Arabidopsis thaliana: one gene and its partners. The protein of the gene in region 1 binds, or shares a complex with, the protein of each later gene. Each region holds a gene or a part of one and is shown on either strand. Other genes may lie near its edges.

Region 1 (7,243 bases):
TGTAAGTCTCAGTGCATCAACCATGGAAGGTATTGTGCGCCTGATCCTGAGCAGGATTTTACGAAAGGGTATGATGGAAAGGATGTTGTTGTTCAGAATCTACGTCAGGCTTGTGTCTACAGAGTGATGAATGATACCGGTAAGCCGTGGGTCTGGTGGGACTATGTGACTGACTTTGCTATCCGGTGTCCAATGAAGGAGAAGAAGTACACCAAGGAATGCGCAGATGGAATTATTAAGTCCCTTGGTGAGTATAATGCTTCATTACTTCGATGGTATTTGCTCCTGTGGTATCATTTAATTAACATATTACCTGTGGCTAGAAATTAGTCTAGAAACTGAATAGTATTTTCAGATATCAGCTCATCCATAATATAGAACAACCAATTGATTGATTTAAATGAGCTTACCTTGTATGGCCTTCTTGAATCCTTATATTCACCAAGTGGATATTTTGTTACTTTCAAATTTGTGCATTTCATCCTAAATTTTCTGACTATCAGCTATATATGCATTCAGGCATTGATCTCAAAAAGGTGGACAAGTGTATCGGAGACCCTGAAGCAGATGTGGAGAACCCAGTTCTTAAAGCAGAGCAGGAGTCACAGGTTTGCCTTTTTGTAACTAATTGGCTCTTACACGTCTTCCCAAGATCTTGTTGGTTTTAAGTTGCCATATATTCTCCATTCCTCGAGGTGTTCTTAAAATGAGTCTACTTCAATTTCAGATAGGCAAAGGTTCCCGTGGAGACGTGACTATACTCCCAACTCTTGTCGTGAACAACAGACAATACAGAGGTATTGGGGAAATGTTGACTTGTCAGTTTTTCCTCCCTTTCTACAGCATCTTTCTTATGTTTTTGCTAATTGAATTATCTTTCATGCTTTTAGGTAAATTGGAAAAGGGGGCAGTGCTTAAGGCTATGTGTTCGGGTTTTCAAGAGTCAACGGAACCAGCTATCTGTCTTACTGAAGGTACTATTATCCACGACATTTGCAACTCTATTTTTTTTAACAGAAACCACAGTTCTCTTGATAGGCCAATATATATTTTCAAAACTTGCATTAGAGCTATCCTTAATTCTTTATCTATTGTTTTATATCATGGGAGAGAAGGATAGTTTTCAGACATGCTTCTGATTTTTGCAGATTTGGAAACTAATGAATGTTTGGAAAACAACGGTGGATGCTGGCAAGACAAAGCTGCCAACATTACTGCATGCAGGGTATCATTTGGGCATGCTATTCTTTTCATTTTCTAACTTTTGGTTTTGTTGTTGCTACTATGACTGATTACTCTTATTTGGTATGAATCGGCATTTTAGGATACTTTTAGGGGAAGATTGTGTGAGTGCCCTACTGTTCAAGGTGTTAAATTCGTTGGTGACGGTTACACTCACTGCAAAGGTAAATTATTTTTTATTTGTGTAGCTTAACATGTTTTGTGTGGAACAAGATACAGAACAATGCCATACCCTCTGCTTAGCTTCTGTATTCCACAAGTATTTGTTACTGGTAGTCAAACAATACTCTGATTTGTCCCTTGTCGATATTTTCTTGGAATCAACTTAGATGGTCTATTTGTTGATTTGTACCACCTGCGAGTATAATATCAAGATTGATAAATAAAATTGTCACAATCATTGATTAAATTTTACTTTGAAAAAGTTTACACTTGAAGAAATTCGTTGATGTGACTGAGTGGAAACATTCTAATGTTTTTTATGCAGTTCTACTGAATTTTCCCCTTTGCGTATATCATAAGTTGTCTTACTATAATCTTTGTTAATGTGCATTTTCTGTATCCATATGTTATTTCACTTGGCAGCCTCTGGAGCTTTGCATTGTGGTATCAACAATGGAGGATGCTGGAGAGAATCCCGAGGTGGCTTCACTTACTCTGCTTGCGTAGTAAGTATTTCGCTTCTATGTCAATGTGTTTGAACAATCATCTTCTTAACCTAAAATAAAACTTCTTTCGTTCTTGAAATGGATTTTTCAGGATGATCATTCAAAGGATTGCAAATGCCCACTTGGGTTCAAGGGCGATGGAGTGAAGAACTGTGAAGGTACTTGCTAAGTATTATTTACAAAATATATGCATGTGGTCTACTTGCATATATAAAGAGCTCTATGTCGATTTATTTAGTAGGCATCACTAGTAACATGCTATTAGCCTATTGTTTATATGCATGCATGTCGGTCTAGAATATTTAGTGCAGATACACAATTATCAGTGGAATTTTTTATTGTACTCAATCAAAGAAGTGAGATCATTGTTAAACGTCAAATTCAAATTCATAATCATATTCTTTTGATTGAATGTGTTAGATGTGGACGAGTGCAAAGAAAAAACGGTGTGCCAGTGCCCAGAGTGTAAATGTAAAAACACTTGGGGAAGTTATGAATGCAGCTGCAGCAACGGTTTGCTTTACATGCGTGAGCACGACACTTGCATAGGTAAAAGAAATAGATCTTCCTTCCTCCTAGCCCCATACTTAATTTGGAGTCATTAATCAGACTTTCTGCTTTTGAATCTGGTGAATGTGTAGGTTCAGGCAAAGTTGGAACCACAAAACTCAGCTGGAGCTTTTTGTGGATCCTTATAATCGGGGTGGGTGTTGCAGGTCTTTCTGGATATGCAGTCTACAAATACAGAATCAGGGTATACGATGTTCTTTACTCTGGTCTTGTTATCATATTAAAACATAGGAAGATTTTGCGGTCTAGATAGAGATGCTAAGTAACAATTGAAATTATGCAGAGTTACATGGATGCGGAAATTAGAGGGATCATGGCACAGTACATGCCATTGGAAAGTCAACCACCCAACACAAGTGGTCACCATATGGATATATGAGTGAAGTTATCAACACAAGCCAAGAGACTCTCTCTCTTTCTATGAGTAGCTTTAAGTTTCCATGTAAATGAATCAATGGACTTGATACAACTCTAGAGAAAAGAAAAAAGCCACAAACAGAAATAAGTGTACCTGCACTATTTGTAAGAAATGTGGATTTGCAGATGGAATCTCCTTTTTGTCTGCATATTACTCTTACAATGTAAAATAGACATAACTGGATGAATAATGAGTGTTACATTATTTACTGTTGAAACTAACTTAAGATCCATAAGAAGAAAAACAATAAACTTTGATTGAGAGATTGTTAAACTTTCTCCAGCTCATCTCTGTGTTTCTCAATCTGTTCTTTCACAAGCTTCTGCGACTCTTGGAAAAGCCTCATGTGCTTCTTTATAAGCTCATCTTTTGTCTTAAGCTCTTCCTCCATTACTGCAATATCCTGTTAAGAACAGAACAGAAGAGAGCAGAAACTGGTAAGACAATATGTGTTTGGAGTTTTCACATTGGTAAATCAAACCACACCTTCTTAAGGCTTTCAGCTCTCGAGGGCGCGCGATCTTCTCGCTTTAGTCCCATGAAGTAAAGCTGAAGCTTTTTCGCAGCTTCCATGAAATCTCTGGCGTGCCGCTCCACATCAACTGCAGCAGTTCAATGAGGGGAATTAAGCTAGAACATCGAATATGGAATCAAAGCTTCGGTTTCAACTGAATTCTAAGCACAAAATTCACTGAGATCATAAGTTAAGCACAAAAACAAACACAACTTCCAAACTATCATTCAAACTAAAACCCTAGAATGGTGAAATTGGAGAGTAGAAAAGGGACTGACTTTGATGAGAAGGGTGAGGAGAGCGATCGATGGCCTGAAGCTCTCTCGCCGGCAAACATGGTAACAGAGCAGCTTCCAAGGCTGTGACGCAAGCCATAATGTCCTCTATGTCATTATTCTGATTGTTCGAGGGGGTCTCCGGTGATCTGATTCCCGGTGGACGGTCAGGCGGTGACGGCGAAGGGTCAGAAGACTGCGGCGGCTTTTGCTGATAATCCATTCACGCCGATCTCGATCTCTCTTTCTCTCTGCTTGTTTGTTTGCCCATAAGGTTTAGTGAAAAATATTATAATGGGGGCCCATTTACTGGATTTAATTTGGGCTTATTGGGCCTTTTCCACATTCTTAATTGTTCTTAAGAATATCATTTTGATGTAATTAATTGAAAACACTGAAAATTCATTTTTAATAAATATATGAAGTAAATCATTTATTTCATATGAAAAAACAATAGTAAGGAGAAGGAACAACATTTTCTGATACTTTACTCTTGATTTGATGTCACAAGATATAACAGATGATGGCTTTTGTAACAAATTTTGATTCCTTATGTAACTTTTTATCTCCATCAAATTAGATAAGTTACATCCTTACTTAAAGATTTTTTAGCTATGGATTTTCTAATGAAATTTGTAAAATGAGTAAGCGATTGACTAAATACTGTAACCATTCTCTTCATTATCAGTGAAAATAGCTTTTAACACATCTCTCATTCTCTTCCTTCTGATTCACAATCATCCATGTGAAAAGATGACAACAAAAACCTTAGATAGAGAACTCACACATTAGTTACAGAAGAAAGATTCTCATTTACTACTACATAAGGAAGTACGGAACATATGATCAGACATCAAGCTTCCCGGTCGGAGAAAGTCTGCTACTCCGGTATTTAGGAGACAAGTTAACAAACTCCAAAGCCTGTGTTCTGAGCTGAACCGGATAATCAGCTGCACAACCGATTCTTGGACCAACTCCTGTCGACCATTTCAGTGACAACTGATGTCCCAATTGTAATGATCTTGACTGTTTCTTTGAGTTTATCCTTAGTAGCATAGATTTCTGCGGCACGTTAGCTTTTGGACTCCCAAGTCCACCTGAGAGTGTTCTCTGGTAGCTACTCCGTTTTGCCTCCTCAAGTGTTCCCACTGTTCCGTTACCGTTCTCATCTGTTTCAGTCTCTGCTTGGAATGTTGTGTCCTCTTTCTTTAACGGTTCCGGTTCAGATCCTCCGTTGGATTTAACATAATCATCGTAGCTGTCAGAATCTTCACTAGCTTTATGCACCTACACATACATAGATATATTAGCTCTCAAGTAGTCTCTTTTTCTAAACAACCAAACTCTAGTTAATGATATCATTCACCAGCCAAGATTAGAACAAGGGCATTACCTCAACATTGTCTAGGTTCACTGCGTTCTCTCTGAGAAACCCGAGAAATGTGTCGAGACTATCGTCTGACGGCCTGTAATGTCCGCTATATGCAGAGATTGTCTGAGATTAAACCGAAAACAGAACGATCAAACAGAGAAATCACAGAAGGCAGACATAATAAAAAAGTTGATATGAATGAACATGTATCTCAACCACTCTAAGAAAAGGACGTGGCCTTAGTAAGTTACCTTGAGAACTCCATTGTCAACAATCACCCTCCCAGCAGCTAATGTAGCTCCTCCAGCCAAAAAGCTTGAGTGATGGAACCTTCCTTTCTTTTTCTGAAGTAAACATAAACAAAGAAAAGAACCATTAGAATCTTTTTCAATACTAATATCAATTCATCACCAATAGAAAGATATAACGGTTTTAACTTACCAGACCGGCATAGAGTTTCTTGAAAGTACTCATAACAAAGATCCATTTTGTTCCTTCCGATCCATGCATTGTGTGTAAGAACTTTCCAGTTAACTTGTGAACAATCTTCCCTTCTATGATCACATACTCATACTCTTCCCTCTCTTGCTGATACCAGAAAAGGCTTATATGAGAGAAATCCCAAAAACAAGTAAAACCAATATTGACATAAGAGAGGAAAAAATGGCACATACAGGTCCAAGATATCTAATGCATTGCTGCTTAAGCTTTGACCTCGGACATTCGTTAAGATCCAAATCTATCCCTCCTCCAACATCCAACCTGCCAAAAAAAAAAAACCCGGATATATCACAAAGTTATAGATAAGAATTATCACCTAAAAAAGATTCTTGAGCTACAAGAAAACACTAACTAAATGAACCTAAGATTTTAAGCATACCAGTAAAAGAATGGCTGACCAGCATCAGCTTTACACCATTCTTCATAGTATTTATGCAGGTTGTGTCCATACCGGTGTCTAGGATCAATCTGATTTTCAAATTTTCATATTATTAGTCTTCTTTTTACATTTAATCAGAATATAACACAAACAAATATTGAAATTTGTGGAAGAAAGGAATTACAGCTTCAATCCAATGCTGAAAGGCCAATTTCTGAGCTTTGTCGACTATAGACAGACCCTTCCCCACCTAAACCCATAACCAAACCACAAGATTACAAAACCAATAACCAAGTGGAGATCTTTTTCTTACAATAATATATATTTTGAGATATTTACATATACTTTTTTCTGAATTTTAATCAAAAGAAGACTCATTAGGGAAAATAAATAAATCACAAAGTTCAACTAGAAATTTTGTGAAAATATGTTTTTGATATTTTTGTGAAAAAAAGGCATACCTTAGAAGCATTCAAGCTAACACGGTTCCATCTAGAAACAGCAGTTTCAGGTCTCGAGTAATCGAAAAACGAAATCGTACTATGATTAAGCCTCGCATAATCCATCGCTTGCCACCTTTTGTTTTTTACCATCATTAATTTAACACGTTAATGACTCTAAAACATAATCTCTCCATTTAAATATCTAATTACAGTGTTTTAGTTGAAAAGGTTATAAATAATTACCAGAGCTCTTCGGCGACAACGACAGAGTCTGCTAATCTACGCCGCGTACGATAACTCCTGTAGACCTTCTGTACTTTCACCGCCGCCAATCTAGTCGAGTCATCACACGCGCCTTCAAGCGCGTCACCGTGTGAGGATAACTCTCGGTGGTCTACCGGAGAAATGAGAATCTCTCCGGCGCCGTGTGAGAACGGCGAAGACTGAAAATCGAAGCTCGAGACTACCTGCATCTTCTCCGACCAAAGAGAGGACTTGAATCTTAGTGTCTGAAGAAGAAACTAAACTCAGAGAAAATGGAGGATTTGTGAGTATTGAGAGAGAAGAAGAAGAAGAAGATCCAAAAGTGTTTGTTCTGCTATCAGTGTTGTGTCATCTCTGTATGTATTTTTTATATATAGAAAATAAATGGCCCATTTCTTTATATATCCGAATTACTTCTTTATTTTCTAATTTTGTTTCTTTTTCTCATTTTGACAAAGTTCTTTTTTAATTCTGTTTTCCTAAATAGACAGGTAAGATTGCGATTTTATTTTTGATTGTGATTATTGGAGTATAGTATTAATATACATGTCACTGATTTATTCTGCTAATAAATCTTGCAGGTTAGGTACTTAGCTG
Region 2 (7,864 bases), on another chromosome or scaffold:
GAGGCTCGATAACTCCAGAATAAACCTCTTCTGCTAGAGAATGCATCAGACCAATCTCCTTGCCATTTGCATATGCATGAAGTAGAGAGCAGTAAGTTAATTCATTTGGTTTGCACCGACCATCCTCCATCTCTGCAAGAACTTTTTCAGATTGTTCCCACATTCCTCCACGGGCCAAAGCTGCCAACACAGTGTTATAGGTGGAAAGGTCAGGAGTGACCCCAGCATCAAGCATTCGTCTGTAAACAGTCATAGCTTGTTCAAACGAACCACAGCGGCTATACGCACTGATTAGGGTGTTGAAAGTTTCCCTTTCGGGTACGAACCCAGCTCTCTTCATTTCCTTGAATACACCCGATACTTCTGAATCCATCCCGTTTTGGCCAAAGACTGCTAATAGTGTATTCCAAGTGACAATGTCGGGGGAGAGACCACACACATTGATCTCGTCAAATATCTTCATCATTTCAGTAAACTTTCCCCTGTTACCATACATCTTTATAAAGGCATTAAAAGTACAAATATTTGGTTTGCACCCTGCATTTCTCATCTCTTCAAAAATACTCATAGCAGATTCGACCTTCCCAGCCCTCTCAAACCCTGACAAAAGTGTTGTATAAGTAAAAACATCAGGTTTCGTTCCCTTTTCCGCCATCTGATTTTTAAGCTCCATTGCCTCATCCAGCATACCATCCCTCGCATATGCAGAGATCAAGGAGTTGTAAGTCACAATGCTCGGAGAAAATCCATTGAGCACCATTTCATTCAAAACCTTCATAGCTTCCTTAGGCCGATGAGACTTTCCATAAACATCTAATAACGCATTATAAGTAACCTTATCATAACTAAACCCAGCAGCCTTCATTTCTTCAAAAACCTGAGCAGCTTCCTGATGCAAAGAGCCTCGTTTACAACAAGTTATAAGAGTGTTGTAAGTATACGCATCCGGAGCAATCCCATCACTCTTCATCTTCTCAACAAGAGACGTAATCTTATTCCAAGGAGTACCCATTTTCCCAAACACATTCAAGATAACATTATACGTTATCAAAGTCGGTTTACAACCATCTTCCTCCATCTTCTTGAACACATTTACAGCTTCCCTATACCTTCCGCTATTAGCAAACGCTGATATCAACGAAGTATAAGAGTAGACATCAAGCGAAAACCCGTCTTCCTGCAAACCATTGAACATATTTGCAGCGGAAGATACTCTGCCTTCTTTACCTAGCATACTGATGATTATAGCAACAACAGAGTTATCCAACATGGATTGATAATCCTTTTGCTTCATAAACCAATCAAAAGCACGCAGAGCCAAATCGAATTTCTTATGAAATCCTAATCCTTTAAGAAAAGCTAGTAACTCCGACGAGGTAGACTCTGGTTTATCCTTAAAAGGCTCGAATAGCTCAGAGAGTACAGAATCTAATTGACCGGAATCAAAATTGGGTTCGATGAGGGAACGAAGAACTTGCTGACCTTGTGGAGAAAGACCATGGTAAGACCAAGGTTTACCGAGGTTAGGGTCACGTGACTTGCCAATTCGAGTCCGGTTACGGTTTCTAGATGTTTGAGAGCTGATGGGTTGTCTGGAATTAGGGTTCTGGTGAAGGAAAACATCGTGGAGGAGAGGCTCTACAGGCGGAGGAGGTGGTGACGAAAGAGACGTAGTAAGAAAAGGCGTCCGAGAGATATGGTGGTTTTGGTCGTGAGAATAAGGTTTAGAGGAAGGAGTGCAGGGAAGGAGAAGAGGAAGAGCTAGCTTGTCCGCCATTAGAGGTAGTAGTAGTAGTAGAAACTAGAAAAGAACCAGGAGGCAACCGAGAGTGAAAGAAGAAGAGAAATGAATGGATATTTTTGTCAGATTTTTTTTATTATATTTTTTTGTTCCAAGAACACAATTTTAGTTTTATTTCCCTACAATTATATTCGACCACGTGGCTAGTCCAGATTCAACAGGTTAGATCTAAATGGGCTACTACTTATTTTGTCAACCCATTATATTATTAGAAGCCCAAATGGAACAATAAACTGTACAATAAAGAAATGGGCAGAAAGAGCCTCTGATATGTATGTATGACCTAAGAGGGATTTTACTTTGTCGTATAGAGAGATCGATCCAAAATGTCAAGTTGCATAACTCCAATAGTTGAACATTCTGAATTTTACTAATAATTTGAAATTTGAAGCTAAAGAATGATTCTGGAAAAAAGATAACCAATAATTCTGTAAACTGAATTAGAATCCAGGGTTTTCGTAAGAAACAACTTTGATACATCAAAGATACTGATAACGATGAAGCATATACTAACATCTATCCACATAAAGGCACTGCTAAACAAAACGAAACCAAGTAGAAAATCAAACTTGATCAAGAATTAGCAGTAACATTGGTCAAATCATTACCTTACAGAGAACCATCAATCACAATGTTGATTAATCCTCATCATCTGAGCTTGCATCATCGCTGCTGTAATCACTGCTATCATCATCCTCCAAAATGTCAAGTTGAACAGCTCGGACCTGTATGACATCAGGCGGTCTGTGGAGTCCCTGAGAAGGTCTCATATGTTGATGATCCTCTGCTCTAGGTGCAGCAATTGACTCCAGTGGCGGTAACACAACTGGGTCGCCTGGTTTCCATCCAGGAGGTGGCAATGGTAAATCTCTAGGCAATTCGACTGGCATTCCTGGTTTCCATCCTGAAGGAACTGCGATATTCGGCGGAAGCAGGTTGTGAATAGCAGATATATCCATAGCTTCTGGTGGTGGTGGTGGCTCAATCAGTGCTTCAACCTTCTTCTCCATGTTTTCTACTGTTTTCGGCAGACCGATATCAAGATCAGCGAAAGTGTAGAGCTGGGAAGCTCTCATTTGTTCGTCTTGTGGAGCTGGTGGTAATGCACCACGGAGAGGTGCTTGCCCTGCACCGAATTCCGGCGGAGCAAATGTGGTGTAGCTAATCTTGTGAGCGTAAGCTAATATGTCCTTTAACTTGAGCTGAGACGAAACTGTGGTTGAAGAAGAAGAAGACTCATTATCATTGTCTTCGTCATCTTCTTCAATTTTGCTTCGTTTTGGTTTGCGGTAATCGGAGTAGTCGTCAACAAGCATATCGAGAACACGTTCTGCATCCTTGAGTTTGTTAGCGAAAGCGAGAAGAGATGAATCTTTGGATTTGATCTCACGCGCCACCTTCTGCTTCGCGTCTTGCAGATCGAGGATCTCTTGAAGCTCTGTAACGGCTTCGAAGAGCTGAGTCTGGAGGGAATTGAATTGAGAGAGGATCTCCTTCGTGGATGAAGGACTAGGGTTTTCAAGCGGCGGCGGAGGTGGTAACGAGTGTGAGGAGAGGAACGAAGGGAGAGAGCCACGGAAAGCTGAGAGCCAGATAGCTCGATTGGGAGAGACGTCGAAGAGCTTAGATGTCAAAACCGCCATCTGCTGGAGAAGAGCTTGAGCTCGCGGTAATGGAGGAAGGAGCGATAGCAAGGCGGAGGATGAAACAGCCGCCGAAGCTGAGGCTGAGGAAGCGGCGGCGACGGTGGAGGAAGGAAGTAGATTAGGCTGTTGTTGGATCTGTTGGTGCTGAGATTGGGAAGATGAAGAAGAGGTTGGATGGCCATGACGAGTAGGCGTCGGATTTTGTACGGAAGGAGAGCCAGGACCTGTTAACCCTAATCTCGCCGGAGATTGTACGATCTGATGCTGTAGCATCTTCGCCGACGGCGAAAGAATCTCTTAAATCGAAGATAATTAAAGAGACGAAGCTTCTCTTCTCTGTTTAGTGTTCAACTGTTTATACAAAATTCGCAAACCCTCAGTATCAATTAGAAAAGTCTAAAGACCCGCTAAAACCATACCGATACGGTTCAATTTCCTAATTACCATTAACCTGGCTTTCGAACAATTGTTATTGACAATAACAGAGACGAATCATGGACGTTAACGCTTGATACAAGTGCAATACAACAGAGTTATGTATCTCACTTCCGAGTTAAGTAACAATTTGCTACTGTGTTACATAGCTTTTGGTTAAACAGATAACCAGAAAATAACCAATCAGAGAACGAGGTAAAGAAACTTACATATTACAAAAGGCATGAAAAAATAATTATCAAAAAGAAGATACAATTGGTAACCATTTTCTACACACACATACATATATCTACCATTCACACGACTGGTTCTGACCGAAACTGCATATGTTCCTCTTGTTTGTGACGACGACTCAGTTATGTTCTCCTCAGACAACAACCGTAGAATGCATCTGACACAATCCACCATATACAGAGATCAATAGCAATTTGGTAGACCGTAAGAGCAATATTCTTAAGACCTTAAGGGTAGTGTAATCAGAATAATAGCAGCAACGCTGAGAATATAACAGTTATGATCTACAGATCATTCTTATTATGACGTTCGATCATGTGAGACAATAACTACAGTAACAAATGAGAAACATTAAGGTGAAAACCTTAGTGAACTGTGGTGTTAGGTTTCGATATAATCTATTAAGTCAATGCGAACGTTCTTATTATAGTGTTTTATATTGGTGTCGGAGGGATGCGGTATAACACCAAACTTACTTGATAGCTGGTAGAGAGTTGTTGCGAGCAAGAAGTCGTCAAGAAGATATATAACTTGTTGAGTGCACAAACAGCTAAGAGCTTAAGTGTTCATGACCTTCCTCTGCAGCATCAACATATTCAGACTAAATTATGGTTAGATTATATCTCATAGAGCACAACAATCCTCATTTAATCATTGGAACGGTTAAAAACATAACACACTAAAGGCGAACTAGTCTTAATTTCTATAGTTAAACTTCAAGGCAGATAGTAAGTAGGTTTGTTAGCTGTTAGAGACTTTTTCTCACTCATTCTTATCACGAAAAGACAAATGTGCCTCACATACTCAACGAGCACAGAAGTAATGATAAAATTATAACTTACAGTAGGTTCAAAGTCAGGGTTTGACAAGTTCACTGTGAGGTTTCTCATCAACAGCAAAACCTGCAAGAAAAACTGTGATTAGTGACGGATACTAGGAAAAAGAACAATCACTGACAGCTACAAATAGGTACCATGACACCTAAAACTGACTCATGGTTGTAACAATCCCATTATTTGACCAACATCTCCATAGAATCATGGTACTTTGGCTTTTTGGTGTTTCCAACTCGTGAATCTATATATTGCAAGTACTGATCTTTATATTTATCTTCTCACACAGCTGAATTTATTCGGGAACTCAAAGAAGAAGACTAAATGATTGATATGCTGCAACACACATATCAGTTAATCTAAAGGCAAGTAAAGCTCCAACTCACAGTTTCGAAATTTATAGGATCCATTTCCTTGAGCTTTTTCATGCGGCCTTTGCTGTCAGGATCGAACACACTCCCAATGAAGTTATAAACCTCAGCAAAATCAGGAAGACCTGCAAAGCAACCATTACAACAGCGTCCACCACAAAATGAAAACTAAGAAATAGTCCCTCAATTGTTCAGATAATTACCATGCATTGAGGGAGCTTGTTTCGCCAGTCTCAAACCCTTAGAATCTGATAGTGTTCTGCTTGAGCTTCCGATACCAGATGCTGAAGGACTAGTTTCACTTATCATGTCATTTGATCCAACATCAACTGAAACAATGATATGTAAGCCGCATTTAGCATATGAAAACTTCAGAAGATAGAGTGACTAGACTACCAAAGCAAAATATAAAAACTGAGTACAGATGAGAACGCATGCCTTCTGCTCCACAAAGAGTATCAAGTTCATCTTCTGGTGGAATAACCCCACTTACAGCAATGTTTAACAATGCAGATGTATCATCATCCCATGGAGTATATCCAGGCAGGTTATTTATTTGAGTAGGAAAGGACATGGAAACGTGAAGCGACATTTGAGCTGCAGATTTGAGTTGAAATCAGATTGATTACATGTTACTCCATCTGTCAACCCAAAGTAATATCTATTACAATAGAACTAACCATTTTTCGATGCCTTTTGAGGATATGGATGAGCAGCTTTGCGCTTAGGCCTAGGGGGTGGAACATGTGCTAAAGTCCCATTTTTTTGGACCTTTAGAAAGTATTTTTGGGCATGGCTCCTGATCTGCAGTAAATCAAACAGGCACAGGATGATTGAGTGGGGAAATGTGCCAAGGTTGTATATTAAACCAAAAATCCAAAGAAGCTGATCTCAAACCTGAATAACTGTCTTTGAACCAACAAAATCTTCTATCTTTTTCCAGTCACGATCAAACCTAAGGACACGAGAAAATTGTCAGGACAAAGTAAGATTCTTTTTTCTAAAAGAGAGAGAAGCCTTTCACACACACAAAAGAGCAATGTAATATGTGGAAGTAACGAACCATTACCAAAATCTGAATTGTAGTTTAGGACTGTAGTTGGAAATTGGTTTCATGCATAGCTCTAAAAGCTGACTTGTAGTAAGTTTTTTCAGTTCTCATGTTAAACATTTTTAATAAAGAAAGATACGACTTCTGCAAAATACCACTATTTATGCAGAAACCAGATGCCAAGTCCTCTACTCAATCATTTTGGCAACCTAAGATAAGCTTAAACCATACTTCGGTTTTATGAGAAGAAACATTCATCAGCGATTAATATAAATTCTGATCTATCGAATATACAATCCAACCTAACAAATCAAAGAAGACATTGTTGCTTCTGCAAAATCCAATTGCATACGCAAAACTCCAGATGATCTACCACATAACCAAACTTCGATCTGATTAAGCAAATTAAGTAGAAATTACGCGAAATTACGCAAAATTCAGCTATAAATTAGAGCTCGAAACACAAAGAATCAGTCAATCAAATAGCTGGTGGAAGAAAAAAAGAGCGCGGTAAAATTACAATTGAAGAGCTTCCAGAAACTTGTCGTGTTCTCCTTCAGTCCAACTCTCTCTAGACTTGGTGATTGTGTAAGCTTTCCTCACCTTCTTCTCCGGTGCTTCACCAGCTTCCGTCGTTGCAATCGTCGTCTCTGTAGCATCTGTAGAAGTTTCCGCCGGTATTACTTCGGCGACCACCGGATTGGTTGAGGTCATTATCGGTATTTTATTCAAGATAGAGATCGTCTAGAGAGAGAGAGACTGAAGAGAGAAGGGGTTAGAGAGAGAAATGACGACGATATCCACATGGCGGGCAAGAAGTTGGTGTATAATATGTGGAGACGCTTCGCTTGCAATTTCAGGCCATCCATTTTTCTCCTTTTTCTTATTTTATTTCTTAAAATTTAAAATCAAAGTACCAAATCGGTTTATATATACCGGTGTATTTTAACACTACAAATCCGGTCCGGTGTGGAAGTTGTAAAAATAGCCTTTCAAATCCAATCCATTTGATTTACATGAAATTAGAAAACCAGAAAAACTGAGCCACAATGATGATACGATGATGATCCTAACCGTTGGCGAGGAATGAGAGACTTTGTTATTGTCTTTGGCTCCTCCTCCGCCATAACCAATCCTCACCATCACCACCGTCGCTGTTACGCCACAGCACCAGAGTCCAACCGGAAAACTAAATCCAATTCTTCTTTCACCAAGCTACTTCCGTCACTACCGCAGCAACATTCACCTTCTCCTGCTTCAGTCTCCGCGACTCATTCTCTCTCTAGCCACTTCTCCAATGTCGTAAGATGGATTCCAGATGGCTCGCTTGAGTATTACGCTGATTTTGCCTCGAAGCTAGCTGAGGATGGTCGAATTGAGGACGTCGCTCTCATCGCCGAGACTTTGGCTGCAGAGTCCGGAGCTAATGTGGCTCGTTTCGCTTCCATGGTTGATTATGATCTCTTATCGAAAGGGATTTCGTCGAATCTTCG
Region 3 (8,457 bases), about 17 Mb from region 1:
ACTAGGCACAGAGAACGGTTTAAAAGGCCCAATAAAAGCAGGTGATTGATTTGGAGTCTGCTTCTCCACTTTTGCAGAACTACTAACATGACTTTTACCAGCCCCTCTGCTAGCTGTTTGATGCGGCTGGACCGGTATGCTAGTCATATTCTCTATACTGTTGCTTTGAATTGGCCTGTCCCTTATCCGGTTGCTGGACCGCAACACAGAAACTTTGCTGGGGAATGTCTTCTTCTTCCCTCTTGGAGGCAACCTGCTTCTGTTATCGTTGATTTCTTGCGTTAGTCCCAACGAAAAATTCGGCTCCACAATGTCTACTTCATCATCCAATTTCTCAGTTGGTGAAACATACTGCAAGGCATATAAACATGTACATAGTTCAGCGGAGCAACAACATATAACGTTACATTTACATAAATGGGAACTCTTACTGTTTTGGGTTCATGCACGGCCTCTTTGTTTTCAAGCTGCCAATAACCAATAGCGAAAGTAAGTGGGTTTGCTGCAACATAAAGTATGTATATTGTAACTCAAAACCAGAAATAAATATAATTACCTTTGTGCTCGCCACATGCTCCATATCTTTCGCTCGCTTCAGTGGCCTATTAGATTGTGCATCCATTTGAGAACAAGATTTTTTCTTTCCTCCTTTCTGAATAGAATCTTCTTCTCTTACCTAAGAGGCATCAAAAATATATGTCATTCTTACCGAATACACACAAATGCGTCATAATCTTCACTGTATTCTCACCTCCATTCTAGTGTTAGGGTTGCTGCGTTCTGGAACAGACACTCCAACGTTTATGCCGCACGCAGCCGGCAAGTTGTCACTTCCTTCACTTAACCCAATATTAGGTTCAACCTGTTGGGAAACTCCATGCTTATTTCCTGGCTGGTCAGCTCTTATTTGGTCCTGATGCATCAACAGAAAATTGTTGTTTAATGTGAAGCTGTCCATATACATCAAATAGCACCTACTAGTGCAATACTTGAAGTCTCAACAAGCAAATTGAGGTGCTTAACCTGTTTAGAGTGGGCATCAGCAACACATTTGCTGCATTCTCCAACAATTCCAGCCTGTCTATTTAGCCCACTCACAGCTTCCCTAACCGATTCAGTAAGTATTGCAACCAATTCTTTCTTCTGCTTAACCAGTTCAGCCTCAAAGTATGACTTCAATTCATCGTTGTTTGATTGTTGAATCTTGAGAACACGTTTCTCAAACTCATCAGCTACCTCTTTGATGACTGCCTCTCTAAGACCATGTCCAGCAGAGCCACTATCATTGTTTTCCATCTCGCCAGCTCTTGGGACTTCCTGCTGCAACCCTTCTCCATCCGCAAAACTGACACCATCTTTATCTGTCACCGGTCCATCCTTATTCGCCTCACCATCCAATCCGTCTACACCTTCTCCGGCTGCACACTCTTCCCTCTCTTCTGCAGCAACACCAGAACCATCAACATCCATCTCATCGTCACCATCCCCCTTAGCCTGATTCACACAGTCATCAGCCATGAACTCATCTTCAGATGGATGTTCAACATCATTAGCATCAACACCACCACTCCAACTGTTATGCTCGAATGGGTGTTCCTCCATTATCAATGATAGCAGATGCGAAACTTCTTCATCATCCTCCTCATCTGAGAAAGATAAGTCGATCTCTTTCGCCAGGAGCTCTTCATTCAGCAGTGAGGTTACCCGGTCCTAAAAGTTAAGAGTCAATAGAATAGATAAGTCAAGTACACAATCTTTCTACACCAAATACAAAGAACAAGCTTTACAACAATAGAATTACCATGCCACTTTGGTCGATAGTTCGTGCATCATGCACATTGATGTTCAAACTCAGCCCCAATACATACTGAACCAGCTTCTCGACTGGAATGGTTGGGTCTAGAATGTTAAACACCGAGTCTGCCGTGTATATAATAGCTGGACAACATGCCACTGTCACAAGAACTAAGGCATGAGGAAACCCTTGTATAGCTGTGGTATCTTGTGCAAGCTCCTTGGCTGTTCTTTGCTTGGCGCTTCGAATAGTCGCGAGAAACGAAGTTCTACCCCAAGGATATTTAAGAAAGGATTCTACATCTTTTACCATCTCTACATGGTCAGGATCGATGATAGTTCGCGAACATGTCGGGCAAAGAATCCCATCAACTAGTAGCAGCAACGATAGGCGAAATCGAGTCAACGGGTCTTTGTATTTCTTCCCCATAGATAGCTTCCCAACAATCCATTGTGAAGTAGGCTTTCTCTCTTTCCCAAATAATGCCTTGTAGAACCTCGTAGGATTCTGAACCGCTTTCATTTTCCCTCTTGTCCTTGCATCCTTTTTGTTGAATCCAGATTTGCTGCAGTTAAGCCCGGTAACAAGTGCAAAATCATCAATGGCAAATCGAATTGGCTTCCCTGCAAACACCCACCACATTTCATACTTCTTATCTGTCACCAACTGCCTAGATAGAATGTAATGTAAGAACATTACAGAAAACTGATGCGTCCCCATTTGCAACAGAAATCCAAACTGCGAACCCTCCAGCTGCTTCAAATGGTTTTGATCTAGAGCAGCCTTGATGATCTCAATCCACCTAAGAGTAAAGTAATTGTTTATCCTCTTTCGGCCCTCAGGTTCAGAACCTAGCCGAAACAAACGCTTTGGCAACTCTACATCCCCCATGGAACAGATACACTGAAATACAAATGTCCACGTATCACTTTTTTGATGCTGCTACTTACACAAATACAAAATATATAAATCTTAGATGTAAATATATGTTATTAACAGACTCAACCAATATAGCCTCAGCTTTCCGTTACTATCAACAACAACAAATGGATTACATAGAAGTTGAGTTAAATATTAAACCTTCATAACACCAATTAGTGGAATATCGGATTAACCAGCAAAGATTCACTAACTAAAGCTACTCAAATCCGAGTTTATGCTATTCAATACTGCAAATAAAACTAAAAATGTCATTAACACATACAACCAATTTGAGTAGCTTCCGTTACTATCAACAAACACAAATGGATTACATTGAAGTAGAGTTAAATCCTAAACCTTCATAACAATTACAAATGAATATCGTATTAACCAAGCAGATTCCCTACCTAAAGCTACTCAAATCCGAGTTTATGCTATTCAAGCTCTTCAACACAAATTAAAAAGATTTTCCCAAAAGCCAAAAAATGGCATTTCATACCTTAATTTGGCTGAATCCCTTCGCCGACACCAATTGCCACAGAAATTCGAGTGTTACAGTGGAGACGACGGAGATATAAACACCTCTACTCCCGTACAACAAAACTCACTCAAGTACTCTCAACGGAATCAAAAACCCTCGATTGAGAAAAGAGCCAACATAAGTGTTGTACGAAACTCGGATGCTTAGATAGGCTCCTCCTCCAATTGCAGAAGATTTATGCAGTCCGATTGCCAGAAATCGAAGCCTCCACAGTCCCCAAATCGAAACCCACAAATTCAATCTTCGTAAACTCTAGAATCGTCACTCGGATTGCACACGCAGTCTGCTCTTCGAAACTTTCCCGGGTGTCGCTTTTTAAAGCCCAGAATTTTCAGATTTTCTTACTGTAACTTCTCTGAATGTTCACCTCTATTTGAATTTTTACAGAGTAATACATAGAAGTTATCGATTGAAAACTCAGAAGAAGAAGAATAAGCGCGTGTGCTCACGCACGGGTTAAGTTTGTCAATATTGCATAAAGTTCAATACATATTGGTTGAAGTGTTAGTTTTGCAATTATAATTTTTTTGTTGGCTATATTTGCAAATTTCCCATTTTTTTACATGTACAAACTAAAAAAAAAAAAATATTAAAGTGAACAAACTGTACATATGGGCTAAAAACTAAAAGTCCCACAAACATTGAGATTACAAAATACATTTTCAGTCCAACATGAGCCATAAAGCATTGCTTAATGGAGTAAAACTCAATTTAACAGAGTGGAATAAATTAAACAAAATAAGACGTGAAGGAGCAGAAGCAAGCATATCAACAAAAACGCCTTTGAAACGCAAACGCTACAAAATTGCGTCTGGCGTTACAGTAGATTGAGATTTGAACGTGAAATTCTCCGAGTCCAGAAACATTCCTCTCCTTCCGTCGTCGTCAAGAAGATCAATTTCATTGAAATCGAAAGAGTGTGCTTGAATCACAGCTTATGCAGACGCTACACCAGTCCCAACTTCTCCAGAATCCGGCCGAGGCGGCGAACAATCAGTCTGAATCGGACGCGCCGCCGAAACAGGTGGCTCAGGCCATGGAACGACTCAATCAAGCGGCTAGGGTTATCGCCGATATCCGCCTCGGCGCTGACCGTATCCTTGAAGCTATGTTCGTGGCTTCGCAACCTCGTCACACAGACATGCCTCTTCAGCTCTTTCTCAGAGAAGACGCCTCCATGCGTCAACATCTTCAGGATCTTCGCTTAATAGGTGCTGAACCAAAACTGAATCATTTTCATTAGTATTGATTGATTCTCTAGATTAGGGCTTTTAAGGATCGATCAATGTTTATTGCTTGGTTCAGGGAAGAAATTGGAAGAATCTGGAGTGTTAACTGAATCACTTAGGTCAAGAAGTAACTCTTGGGGTCTTCACATGCCTTTGGTTTGTCCAGATGGTGCAGTCGTTGCTTATGCTTGGAAAAGACAGCTTGCTGGCCAAGCTGGTGCTTCTGCTGTTGATAGAACCAGGTATCAGATTCGTTGCTAATCATTTTAAAGCATACTTAGGGTTTAGGTTCGAGTCTGCATATTAGGGCTGTTAGTGAAGCTTGGTGGTACCAACTTGGAGTTTCATCAGCTAACCAATTCTACTGAATCTCATGCATTCTCCATTTTCTCGCGTTGTGTATAATGACTGTAGGTTAGCTCTCAAGGCCTTCACGGATCAGAAAAGACGATTCTTCCCTCATATTGATGATGGATTAAAGATGGAACCAAGCTCAAAAAAACATCGTGCCTCCCATTTGCTATTAGAAAATGGAAGAGAGGAGCCGGTTGATTACAAAACATTGCCAGATATACAATCGCGTTTAGAGAAGCTGGTTCCGAGTGTGAAGGTGTCTACTTATGGACGATTGAACTGGCTTAAAAGAGCTAACTCTTTACCTGGGTCAGGTAGTGATGATCCTACAGAAGCATCGAAACCTATTTTCCAGAGTTCTAGCAAGCTGAGATCAGGGTTACAGACTGAAGTTGTCGACAAGATTGCTGTTATTGAGTTATCATTTCCTTCTCTATTCAGAGCTATAGTCTCGTTGAGTCCAGCGGGTTCTGTTGATCCAGATGCAGTTGCTTTCTTCTCCCCAGATGAGGTCACTTCCAACCTCCTTGCATTAAAATATACTGATTCTCATGTGAAATTGTTTAAGTTCTCATGTTTTAGCTTCATCCCTTTCTTACAGGGAGGCAGCTACTTACATGCGAGAGGCTTCTCGGTTTATCATGTTTACAAACACATAACGGTAATAAAGATGCGATTGATATTATATATAGTTTAACAAATTTGATTCATTGGGGACTTGCATTAATTAGATTTTTCTTGCAGGAACATGCTGCTACAGCCTTGCAATATTTCCTCGGCTTTGGTACTGGAACAGCTCTCTACTCTCTTCTGGTAAAGCATTTTACAAGCACACTTCAGTCTCTGGATAACATGAACCTTTTTTGTCTGGAAGTTAATTAACACCTTTCTCTTCTTCTTATGCAGCTATGGATATGCAGTTTTGAATCCGTATTTAGCAAACCTTGCACGTATGCAGACTCTCCGTAATTCTTCTAATACATTTGTTTCCCGTGGACTAACTTTTCATTTCTCTTCTGATGATGCAGTAAATGTGGAAGGCTATTAGCAATGGATAAAAAGTCTGCGTTAATCTTACCTCCTTTACACCGCGCTTACCAAGAATTGCCTCTTGCATTAAACCTGGACGTTTGTGAAGCTTACCACTCCAGTTGCTCTCAAGATGATACCTAGTACTCTAGTGATTAGGGAGGATCAATTAAAAGAAAGGTTAGAAATAAGTTCTAATAACATTTTGTATGGATCTTTAGTATCTGCTCTTCTCCTTGATATACCTCTTGTTTGTTGTTGATGTCCCATGTTGAGGTTTAGATTAACTTTCTTTCTTTCTACTCTCTGGTAACATGTGAATGTTGTCTTCTTTCTAGAGATTTGATCTTTGTTCACGAGATGACTGAACAGAGACCTTTTTTTTTAACTCGGTTCACATTACTCTGTTGCAGTCAGCATCAAAGTGAGAAAAAGACAGTGGGTGTTGATTTTTGCTTCCGATCCAGAAATATAAAACATGTTAAATGCAAGATCAATAAATTAAGTTATTTTGCAAGATCAAATAAGCTTACGGCTTCTTTCATAGAGATTGTACATGTGAAACCTGCAACTAACGAAGCAAATAAAAGAAAACACTAAATAAAGATAACACCAGAGGAAGTGGAAGAAGGTACTACATTTACACTACAACAAGACAACCTTCTTAAACCAAAGCCAAAGCCAAACAAACTTCTCATTACTTCTTGCCATCTTTAACTGCAACGACCACAATGCTCACTGCACATTCCTCTGGAACCACGGCCATTGACCGCCTAACACTGCAAATAGTCCAAAGATACATAGCTGACATTGCCCCTACGGCTCCACATACTGCAGCCAAGACCAGAGCACCAAGCATTCTCCATATACACTCACTATTTTCTCGGCCCTCTTCCATTTCCGTGGAAACGTCCGGCTTCAAACCTTCATTTGGTCCTAATGGCGCTGGTTGCACCCATATCGGATCAAGATGCCATATTTCAAAGCTCCATGAATGGAGAAAATGTGGCTTGGAAGAGTTCCCATTAGCAGAGCTTAAACCCACCATGACTTCACCACCTTTCCAAAGCTTCTCCAAGTCTACCGAGAAAGAGAAGAACGGATCAAACATCTTTATCGAACCACGTTTTCTGAAACGAACCCTCATTCTCTTAGAACTTGCCTCATAATCAATCATACAGCTCAAAATCCCTCCATCATCCATCATCAAGTCACCCACAAACGAAAGGTTTCTAATTTTGGCAGACTCAGGTCTACCAATTAAGACTCTTGCACGGTTTCCTCTCTTGGAGATATCAAACTCAAAAGCAACAACTGTCTCGTTCTTTGCATACTCTAATAGAAACCCTAAAGCAGAGGAACTGTAATCTTTCTTACCAAACAGACTAAGATCCAAAGTACTTGGAACCATTACAAAAGCCAAGACATCACCAATCTCATTGGGCATCGAAAACGAGAAGTAAGTCGAGAAAATAACGGAGTTCCTCTCTTTACCTTGGAATAGATTGATGGGTTTCTTGTAAAAGACTCGTCCCTCGGTCCGATTCACTGAGTCAGTCAGCTGAATCGAAGAACTGTCATTGACCAGCTTCGAATCTCCAAACAGAGCAACACTCTTGTCAAAACTCTGAGATTTTACGAATTCATCAAATGAAAACGTGAAATCCACACCTGCGGTTCCATGTATCTCAAAGCATAAAAGGACCAGAAAAGATAGGGTTTTGAATATCGCCATAGCTATACTGAGACTAAAATTGGTTCTCTCTGATTTAATGACTACAGAGACGAGCTCTTCTCTCTCTCTTACTCACTCACTCACTCTTCTCCTTCTAAAAATGGAATTTCTAGGATTTGAGAATGACTTCCATTTTTTCAAGAAGTATTTAAGTTTGTTGTTTTGTGTGGAACTATGCGAAGAAAGCAGAGGAAGAAGTTAAATATCATCAACACATGCAGAGAGATTGATTCGTTCTCAGTCCCACTCACTTTCTCCCTCGTAGTGGTTGCTGACTAAGGTTAATGCCGTTTCTGATTTGTATCTCAGTTTTATTACATTCTATCATGTTTAGCCTCATTTACTTTTAGAATATGACATTTGTGCCTACTTTCTAAGAAATAAAATGACTCAACTTGTAGATCTAAGAAGATTCTGCTTCATACAAATTTTATCAAAGTCATGTATAAGAAGCTCTTAACTTTCTCGACGGATAGATAAATTGCAAATTCATCGTCCAGACATTATTGAAAAATATTAAAGCAACCATAAGAAAACGAAATCTTTCCAAAAAATAAAAGACAGTAGTAACATAAAACTGGATTGGCTAAAACCAAGAAAATTGAGGTCCAACATACTAAAAACAAAGCAACACTTATAATCCACGACAAAAAGGTAAGATCTTAACCGACAAAATCTACTCTTCATCGAACAAACCGAAATCACCTCCATAGTCTTCTTCGTCGGACTCTTCCTTCTCCTCTACCTTAGCAGCAGCTGGGGCACCACCACCTGCATCAGCAGACACCGCAGCTACTGAAGCAACAGCAAACTTGCTTGGATCCTGCATTCCAGAGAGTTAACATAAACAAAA

The links.
Region 2: AT3G52860 (region 1) and AT5G02850 share a complex: the UniProt entries of both Arabidopsis thaliana proteins name them as parts of the mediator complex.
Region 3: AT3G52860 (region 1) and AT3G09180 share a complex: the UniProt entries of both Arabidopsis thaliana proteins name them as parts of the mediator complex.

What each region holds. Positions count from the first base shown.
Region 1 is NC_003074.8:19,588,832-19,596,074, forward strand, and holds AT3G52860 (mediator of RNA polymerase II transcription subunit-like protein), read right to left. Parts: upstream 3,938-7,243; 5' UTR 3,911-3,937; coding exon 3,691-3,910; exon of another isoform or gene 3,501-3,690; coding exon 3,385-3,500; intron 3,302-3,384; coding exon 3,167-3,301; 3' UTR 3,017-3,166; downstream 1-3,016. Other genes in the region: VSR1 (vacuolar sorting receptor homolog 1), read left to right, coding at 1-247, 520-608, 728-797, 891-974, 1,149-1,225, 1,325-1,406, 1,828-1,910, 2,002-2,068 and 3 more; AT3G52870 (IQ calmodulin-binding motif family protein), read right to left, coding at 4,534-4,974, 5,081-5,182, 5,311-5,403, 5,501-5,647, 5,734-5,821, 5,940-6,028, 6,124-6,189, 6,401-6,515 and 1 more. UniProt on the Arabidopsis thaliana protein: Component of the Mediator complex, a coactivator involved in the regulated transcription of nearly all RNA polymerase II-dependent genes.
Region 2 is NC_003076.8:648,015-655,878, reverse strand, and holds AT5G02850 (hydroxyproline-rich glycoprotein family protein), read right to left. Parts: upstream 3,832-7,864; 5' UTR 3,721-3,831; coding exon 2,440-3,720; 3' UTR 2,116-2,439; downstream 1-2,115. Other genes in the region: AT5G02860 (Pentatricopeptide repeat (PPR) superfamily protein), read right to left, coding at 1-1,777; LCL1 (LHY/CCA1-like 1), read right to left, coding at 4,667-4,717, 4,959-5,018, 5,336-5,445, 5,524-5,649, 5,759-5,917, 6,001-6,124, 6,218-6,275, 6,892-7,085; AT5G02830 (Tetratricopeptide repeat (TPR)-like superfamily protein), read left to right, coding at 7,458-7,864. UniProt on the Arabidopsis thaliana protein: Component of the Mediator complex, a coactivator involved in the regulated transcription of nearly all RNA polymerase II-dependent genes.
Region 3 is NC_003074.8:2,815,084-2,823,540, forward strand, and holds AT3G09180 (mediator of RNA polymerase II transcription subunit), read left to right. Parts: upstream 1-4,010; 5' UTR 4,011-4,194; coding exon 4,195-4,468; intron 4,469-4,562; coding exon 4,563-4,728; intron 4,729-4,900; coding exon 4,901-5,351; intron 5,352-5,441; coding exon 5,442-5,501; intron 5,502-5,584; coding exon 5,585-5,653; intron 5,654-5,746; coding exon 5,747-5,790; coding exon of another isoform or gene 5,791-5,809; exon of another isoform or gene 5,810-5,868; coding exon 5,869-6,013; 3' UTR 6,014-6,342; downstream 6,343-8,457. Other genes in the region: AT3G09190 (Concanavalin A-like lectin family protein), read right to left, coding at 6,567-7,604; AT3G09200 (Ribosomal protein L10 family protein), read right to left, coding at 8,281-8,427. UniProt on the Arabidopsis thaliana protein: Component of the Mediator complex, a coactivator involved in the regulated transcription of nearly all RNA polymerase II-dependent genes.